Regions from separate parts of the Mus musculus genome. Here region 1 is reported to be linked to region 2. The links are microRNA targets in miRTarBase. Many come from high-throughput screens and were not tested one by one. Region 2 holds a microRNA gene; the other region holds the end of a gene's coding sequence.
What was found. The annotated mature microRNA mmu-miR-493-3p reads UGAAGGUCCUACUGUGUGCCAGG and lies in region 2 at 2,411-2,433, shown strand. An mRNA with a match to its seed (bases 2 to 7 or 8) in the 3' UTR can be bound and repressed. Matches are read on the target gene's strand: a 7mer-m8 pairs with bases 2 to 8, a 7mer-A1 pairs with bases 2 to 7 and ends in A, and an 8mer does both.

Region 1 (4,273 bases), not on the chromosome of region 2:
CTTCATTTCTTGCCTTTGAAAGAACGCTGTTGCTGTGCCTGGATGAAGTTTTGATGACTTGGGCACATGTGGAGAAAAACTACTAAGTTGTTCTGGTATGGAAGTGTTTTTTGACCAGAGGGCACCATCCAGTGGAGCTATCACTACAATGGAAGAGGCCCAATGCCAAAATGAACAGCCTGGGATCAGCAAAATGTGTCACTGTGGATACAAAGGTGGGTTCAGCAGAGAGCTCAGCCCATACGGCCAGGATGCTGGGACTGTGGGTTCTAAATCTAGCTGCGCCAGTGACCCAAAGTCTTCTTGGCAGTCCCTGCCATGTCATATTTTATTCTTCAAAGTCCCAAATGGGACCACAGCACCAAACATAAGCCATTTCTTAAGTTCTCGCTGGTAATTTGAACGTGAACTCTAAAATGGACCTGTCGGGTGGGGGCATCTGAAACATGGAGCAGAAATGTTTGGCAGAACTGAAACCCACACAGACAGACAGACAGACACCAGGCTTATACGGAGATGGTTAGTGGGGAAGGAGGGCAGGGAATGCCCGTGCTCCTTCTCAGGTCTCTTCCACCCCATCCCACCCAGCTAGGACCAGAAAACACCACTGAAGCAACTCAAGGGAGCATGCCGAGTGGGAGGGCATCGGGGAGTGGGGAGTGGATGACAGGGGTTGGGTCAATCACAACTCACGCTGTTATTGATCGAGTGATTTTAGTGAAGTGAATACATTGGCAGGGAAAGCATGAAAACAAAACACACCTGGGAATCACTATTAACATACGTGATAACATCAAAACATCTGGTCAAATGTAGTTAAGAAACAACAGGAATGAGAAGGAATGTAAAACATCTTCACAGTATTCAAAGCTTTTGTATAAAAGGCTTAGGCTATAAAGTGGAGTCCTCAGGGGGTGCGAGGAGGGGGGAACCAGGGCCAACAGGAATTCCGTCTCTGCGCTTAGGACCCACAGCGCCAGGTCAGAGCAGCCAACATGCCATCCTGGAGATGTGACCCCGGGTCTGCTTCTGGAGCACATCTTGAACCACGTCCGGCTATGAAGGTCCAACAGAGCATCTGGTTACAGGGAGGCTAACAAGATAAAACAGGTTCTAGCTTTGGGAAATGTGATTTCTGTAATTTACACATTCTTAGGAAGCCTGGAACTGGGCTTAGACTCAGCCCCAGGGAGGACCTAGTGCTAACCCACCAACCATGAGCTCTGAGGATACAGAATGTTTTAAAAAGCAAACATATTCTTACAATTCTTGCCTCTCAAGTCTATTTTCTAAGATAGCTATTGATAGTTCCCAAAAGTTTGGTGGGTTTAGCTTTCCCTGACTCTCCGGAATGACTATTTTAAAGCTTTCCAAATCTGACCTTTTCATTGGCAACGCTGGTCAGAGCGCACATGGACCACCTCCATTGGAAGCCAGGGACAAAGCTAATGAGTCTGCACATTGGTTTGTTACACCTTTTGTTGAAAAGGACAAAGGCTGCTGATCATGCAGCTTTCGGGCCCCTAGATAGCCTCCCTTTTTGTCTGGAACTGCTGATGTAGTATAGACAAAACTGGTCTGTGTGTGTGTGTGTGTGTGTCTGAAATCCTCACAGGTCCGCAACAAAACTCTGAAGCTGGGGACTCTGAAGTAAGGGGACAGACAGCTGCTGCAGTTCACATGATCAATTGATCGATCAATTGGTTATGAATCCTTCCTGAGGAAGTTACTTCCTGAGGGTTCCCAATCTGGAGCCCCCCAGAACATGTCCTCCCTTTTATGCTGTGAAACTGCTAACATCCCCAGGGAAAAAAAAAAATCATGTAGGCAGTCTCCCGCCACTCGGAGAGGGCCCTGCCACATGATACACTTTCCCAAAATGAGCAGACCCCTCACCAAGCACTGAACTAGTAGTGGCTCAAGGCCCAGATCTACACACTCAGGAGACTTTGCATTTCAGTTATGGACAATGAGGTTAGACTATTTCTAATTACTAATGCACATACATATTTTTAAATCATCCACAATGATAGGCAAATCACCTAAGGTTCCTCATAACATTGTGATTAAGGTTGGAAGTATTCTTAAAAGGGTTAAGATAATAGGACTACTAAACATGAAGTTAATTAGGTCACTACCCCACTCAGGTCAGTAACTAAGTTGGCATGGTGAGTTTTCAGGCTGGAGTCTTTCAGAAGTAACCAGAGTTTTCCTGTTTCTGGGTCAATCCAAGGCCACTAGATGATTCTTCAAAATCATTCCTACCTCTGGATTGAGTATGCCAAAGGGACAGTCACTGTAGCCCCATGGATGCGGTGGGGAATTATCAGACTTTGGTGGAAGAAATTAACTTTTTTTTTTTTTCAGAACTACAGGGACAACAGGAGTAAGGCTGCCTAAGAGAACTGGAATATTTACATCACTTATTAAGCATACCAACTTTGAGAAATACCTCTGGGCACTTGGGAAAGCTGCAGATTAGTTAGCCTTTGAAACCATCTCCTCGGATAGGGCACTTTAGCCTCAAAAGAATATGACCGGAGGAATGCAAAAGTAAAGGTGGAGGGCTCAGGCAGGCAGCGATTTTAAATTTGTCTGAATTATAGGCAATCATGTATAAGGAAAAGGGCTTTCCTTGCAGAAAAGCAGAGTCTATGGATACTGTCTCCTTCCACAGCTATACTGATTCCTGGGCAGCCAGGCACAGCCATGAGGCCCATCTCCTCCACAGCACATGCACAGAGTTGCCTTCCACAGCACATGCATAGGCGGTGTATTAAGAGGGCAGCCTTGGGCAGTCAACGACGTTAGTCTTTGAAATGCTGAGTGTGGACTTTTACTCAAGCCTTGGAGGGTATGTGGGCTTTTATCCCTGTCTTATGCTGCTGTTCTTTTGAAATGTGACAGATGGAATTACAAAGTGAGGCTGTTGGCACAGGATTCCCCCAATCACCCTGACTTGTGACCTGCTTGACATTTCTACCTTTGCTCATTTCTTCCACTCTATTGTTGAAAACTAGTAGCTGTTGGCTTCTCAGCCTGAAATGCCTCATGTCTCTTCATGCCCACGTACCTCCTTCATACAAAAGCAGACCCTTGCCTGGCATCCTTGTATCCCGATGGACTGGTAGAAGTGTCCATCTGAGACCTACAGTTTCCTATCAAAGGTGGCCAGTTCAAAAGCTGAAGGTAGAGTAGGCAGTGGCCTCCCACCCAAACCCTTAGCTATCCCGTTCTATACTGGGATACCCTGGCTACTTTCAGAAGTGTGTGTGTGTGTGTGTGTGTGTGTGTGTGTGTGTGTGTGTGTGTGTGTGTGTGTTTTGAAGGTGGCGATGGTCTATCTAAGGCAGAAAGAGGGGGATTAATAATAAACTGAAAGCAGCCTGGCTTGGCAATGATCAGACTCTTCTACCTGTAGAGGCTTAGACTCCACAAGCAATTGGTAATGATGTCCCGAACAACGTTGAGCTGAGCAGCTGTCCGTCTGCAGTTCTTTACAATCCGTTTTGTTTTGTTTTTCCAAACCGGCCAACATTTTCTGTTTTTTGTGCCCGAGGCTCAGTGAAAGGATTCTGCCTCTCCTTTTGCACCGTGCCTGCTGGCCCTGCTGCAGCCCTTAAAAAAAAAAAAGCCTTCCTAATCTAAAGGGCCGTGGCCTTAGCTGGATGTGGCTATGGAGGGAAGGGAGAGGGTTCGCTGTAGGAACAGAGCCAGGTGCAATGCAAAAGCCACAACTGTAATGGGTGAGAGCAATATGTGAGCCCCCAAGAGCCAGGGTCATCCACGCGCCCCCACCCTCACCCCAAGCCACACTCCCCTTCCCCAGTCCGCCCCAGTATCACTTAAAAACAGACTGGAAGGTGGGACACTCGTGGTTTTTCATTCTCTTCATGAAGTTTTTGAACTCCTTGTTTTTCTTGTCCCACTTGTGAATGGCTGTCAGCAGGTACTGGCTCTTCACCTTGCGGCCCATGATGAGAAAGTTGTGGCTGAGGTTGTCCAGCTGGTGGCAGGGACAGTCGGCACCGTTCTTCAGGAACAGCACAAGCCGCTTCAGCTCCTTCTTCTTGATGGGCCCCAGCTTCAAGGGTTTCTTCTTCTTGGGGACAATCTTCTTGTCACCGTTTTCCTTCTTCACTTCTTTGATTTTCATCCTCAGTGCTAGGATGAGGAAGAGAGGCAGAGAGGGGAGGGGAGGAGAGGGCAAGGAAGAGGAGGCGTTAAAACAAAGCGCTTAGCATTCAACCCTGTCCTACATAAAAGGGAAACA
Region 2 (4,273 bases):
GGATCTGTATACAGATGATATTCTGGCGGGTGGCTAGGTAGTGAGGGGCTAGAAGGAAGTAGTCAGCAAGCCTGGGGGAGGGCTGGGCATGGAGGGGGCCGATGGGAGGGGGAGGGAGTTGGTATTTCAGATCACTGTCTATATACCTGCACTTTACAAAGCACTTTATTGCTTGCATGGTGTTGGATGATGGTGTGAAGTATGAGTGAAAGTGTGTGTGTGTGTGTGTGTGTGTGTGTGTGTGATCATAGACAGAGCTCCTGGGCTCTGAGAGGGCATGAAGGCCAAACTGAATATTCCCACGTGGCTCTAAAGGTAGCAGGATGCTTTCCCCAGATTCTCTGCTGATCCAAAACTTCAGATTAATGCCCCTAACCTCCTTTTACTTAGAATCGAGTGCCATCCCTCTAAAAGGCTGGGCCTTACAGCTCACACAGCCCTGTGCTCACATAGCTTATAAAAGTAGCTCTTCTAGAGACTTTTGCTATTTGGGAGCCTCAGATGGAGGCTATCCCCACCCCTTTACCCAGTTCTTGTGCAGCCACGGCAATAGGTAGTGCCTGGGCAATGGATAGTGCCTGATCGGCACTGCAGAAATAAGCCCCTGCGTTCACTGGTCCATGTGTTAGGTTAAGGTGGGCACTGGACCTCATTGTGCAGGAGCCTTAGTCCATGTGAGTTGTGAAAATGTGCGTGTGTTGTGTGTATTGTGTTGTGTATAGTGTGCTATGTGTTTTGTGTGTATGTGTGCTGTGGTGTGTGTGTGTGTATGTTGTGTGTTTGTGTGTGTTGTGTTGTGTTGTGTGGTTTGTGTAAGTATGAGTCCTGTGGTGGTTAACGATGAATGCCTGGAAGTAAGAAGAGGCTGAGTGGATCTCCCCCGAACTCCAGATGCCCTGGGTGCAGACTCTACACACACTTTTGCCCCAACCTTGCACCCAACCTCCTTGATTTGCCCCGTGTGGCTAGAGCCACCACAGGGTTAAGAGTTGGTGGTCACTCCCTGCCATCTTTGTGTCCCCACTCCCCAATTCCCTCTTCTTTCTGGCCATAAAGCTTAGACAGCCCCTCACCGCATCCATGAGTGGGGTACTTCCTCCCCCATCCATTGCCCCAAGCCCTCTCCATTGGGGTTTCTCTCCCCTAAGTGGAGTGGGGCAACCTGTCCACTCTCCAGCTCCTGCCCCCTTGCTTGGGGTTCTAATCAGCTCCCCAGACCCCACCTCACCACCCCACCCCACTCTCCAGTTTCTGGGTTAGCTGGCTGGGCAAGAATTGGTCTATGTCCTTCGACCAACCTCCCTAGCCACTCCCTGGGGTACCTGCCGCCCTCTGGTGCTGGCCTGGGTACGCCCAGACTGGATGAGCTTCCCAGATTGTAACGCTGCATGACAGCTTCAACAGAGACACCTGCACCCCTACCAGCAAGAGATGACATCATCCCATCCCCTGGGCTCCAGGTAAGTTCCCTGCACGTTTCCCTGAGATACCCATGGGCAATGGTTTTGTTTTCCTGATGACAATGAGCACCATGATTTGAACTGAAGGTCACTGATGGCATCGGAGTTTTTCTGAGAAAACTCATTGCTGGGTGATAAACCAGCGAGGATTGGCATAGGCAAACTCGGGTGTTGATGGAAAAGTTCTGACAAACCAGTCACAAATCTACTCGGACAATATGCTGAAGGCCACTTTATTGCTTGCCAACTTTCCAACTTGCCCTGGAAGTTTGGTGGCCCATTTAAAATTGGAAACAGTTAAAGAAAAGCAAATAAGATGCGTGATATCAGAGAGAAGGGTCAGCAGGTAGCGGTGTTATCTGTGCAAGCCTGAGGGACCCGAGTTCAATCCCCAGAACCTATCCTCTGACCGCTCCATTGTGTACCAACGCTCTCGCATACACAATGATAAGTGTAATTTTTAAGATGGATTTAGGGAGGAGAGATGGCTCTCTAGAATTGTCTGTAAACAGAATCTGTTTAAGGGGCCCTGTTCAGGGCATCTGCTTTTCCTACCTGGTAGGATGACCAGGCTCAGAAATTCTCCGAACACCATGCTGGGATAATGATCTGCCATGTTGGATGTTCAGGGTGGGGGATCAAGCTAGACATGTAATCCATAGTGATCTTCAGAGAGAGAGGTTTCTAGGCTCAGCCTTAGGGTCCTGGCTTTTTCCTCCTGTTCTGTTCTGAGAGGGGCGGGGGGTCTATCTCATGCATGTCTGTCACCATGGACTTCATCATCATGACTTTCATCACCTCTACCTGGCCTCTGTCATCTCCCTGGGCTCAGCATCTCACCTCTGGCCAGTCCATCACCTTCCTCACCTCCATCATCCTCGCTTCTGGGCTCACTCTGGCCGCCAGGGCCTTGTACATGGTAGGCTTTCATTCATTTTTTGCACATTCGGTGAAGGTCCTACTGTGTGCCAGGCCCTGTGCCAGGCATCGTGTAGATGGACGTTGCCCTTGAGAGCCCACACCTCGGGGAGATGCTTACAAACTGCTGGATGGGAAGGGAGCCTGTGTCAAGGCTGCTTGGGTGTGGATGCAGGGAGGAGGTGTAGGTGCAGCCCCTGCCCTACGATTTCCAAAATAATCTGTAAGGAGAGGCCTTAGGTGACCTCTTTGTTCCAAGTGGGTGGCTTGTCCCAGAAGTGGTACTAGGTACTCAGTCCACTAGCACTAATACCCTCCCAGAATGGCTCACTCCCAGATTCCTGCCCCCAGCAGCCTTGTTTCCCTATCATCTACACCCAGGTCTCTGGGTCAGCAAACCCAGGAGTCTGCTTTGTTGGAGATTGATCCCTGGCCTATTTTCTGTGCACTTTGGGGCTCTGGGTGGGGGGAGGGTGTGGGATCTCTCTGTCTGCTGTTATTAATCATTTTTTCTTGATCATATGCTGTTAAACTACTATGTTGGGAGTTCCTGGTTCTGAGAAACCTGTCAGTTTTCTTTGAGGGTGGGTAATGGGACTTAAAGGTTCCCTTAAGGTTTGACACGTACTTGACATTTGGGTACTGTGGTGGCCCTCAGGCCTATACCAGGGCTCTCAGGAATGTATTGTTGCAATGAATCTATTTATACATTTCAGGATGTTCAATTAAATGTGTGGTTTTTTTTTTTTTTTTTTTTTTTTTTAGATTTGGAACTGGAATGGGGTTGGCTATGTTAATGCCTTGGTGCCTACAGGGCTGAGGTAGAGGGACATCAATCTCTAGATGCTTAAGGAGGAGAGCCCAAACCCCACCAGTGATGTGACCCTACCGCCCCCTCCCCATGTCACAACCATGTGTCTCACCTCCTTACCTGAGTCACCTGAAGTTTCTGTCTACCTGAGATGCTTCCCCGCTCACAGATCCCCTTCAGTCCCTCCTTCTACCCATGTGTGATGTTCAGGCTCTCATTGTCACACTTAACCTCTGTCACCTCTGTGTTACACTAGGTCCGATATCTGGTCACAGATCACAGGCTTCCTCCTACCACAATGAATCCCTCTCTATCTACCCTTTCATCACACCGAATCCCTCTGTGACTCATGCCAAGCTGCCTCCACGTGTGAACTGAGCCTCCTGAGGTTCTCTCACTCTTGTCAGACCGCCCTCCTGGCTACTGTGTCTTCTTCCTTTACCTGAGACACAGTACGGGGTACTTGACCAAACCCCTCTTTCAGGTGTGTCCTATCCTGACCCCTTTTCCACTCTGTGTCTCATGAACTCCCCTCCAGTTATCATATGAACCCCCAACCTAAATTGAGTCTAATGTGTCCTGACTATCTCGTCTTCCAATGCCATAACAAAGTCCCCCTTTTATGTCCTACTAAGTACCCCTCCACCGAATTATTACTTGGGTCCTCTGCCCTCATTCCTGGGTCACATTGAACTATGCTTCTATTCTAGTATCACACAGAGCCATTTACTAACCTATAAATCTCTATCTAGTCATGTGTCACAATCTGTGACCCTACTGTATGTGACATGGACCCACCTCCTCTTTTGATATCACCTCGAACTCCTCCCCTACCCCTTTAGTCCCTGCCCCACCTCCATGTCACCCCAAGTTGCTCCACACTGGACTGTCACATAGACATCCTCCTGCATCCAGAAGTCACACAAAGCTCTCCCCACAGTGACCACACAAGTAGTTCAGTAAAAGCTGGTATCTTCTGTATCTTGTGTTGTTTCAGTGCTTCAGGCTGAGTCTACTAATGTCACACCAAGCCCACTCTCCTCCTTAGTGTCCCACCTAGGCTCATGCAGCTGTCCCTTATCTG

Region 1: miRTarBase lists Sfrp1 as a target of mmu-miR-493-3p. Seed matches in the 3' UTR shown: 7mer-A1 at 3,325-3,331, 7mer-A1 at 3,185-3,191 and 8mer at 1,060-1,067.

Annotation. Positions count from the first base shown.
Region 1 is chr8:23,446,057-23,450,329 of GRCm38, reverse strand. Sfrp1 (secreted frizzled-related protein 1) reads right to left here. Exons shown (of 3, transcript NM_013834.3): 3 at 698-4,164. The coding sequence ends at 3,842. Among named protein-coding and RNA genes, the nearest start is that of Sfrp1, 37 kb to the right of the region's middle.
Region 2 is chr12:109,577,873-109,582,145 of GRCm38, forward strand. Mir493 (microRNA 493) reads left to right here and starts at 2,361; the gene lies at 2,361-2,443. It also overlaps a transcript of Rtl1 not described here.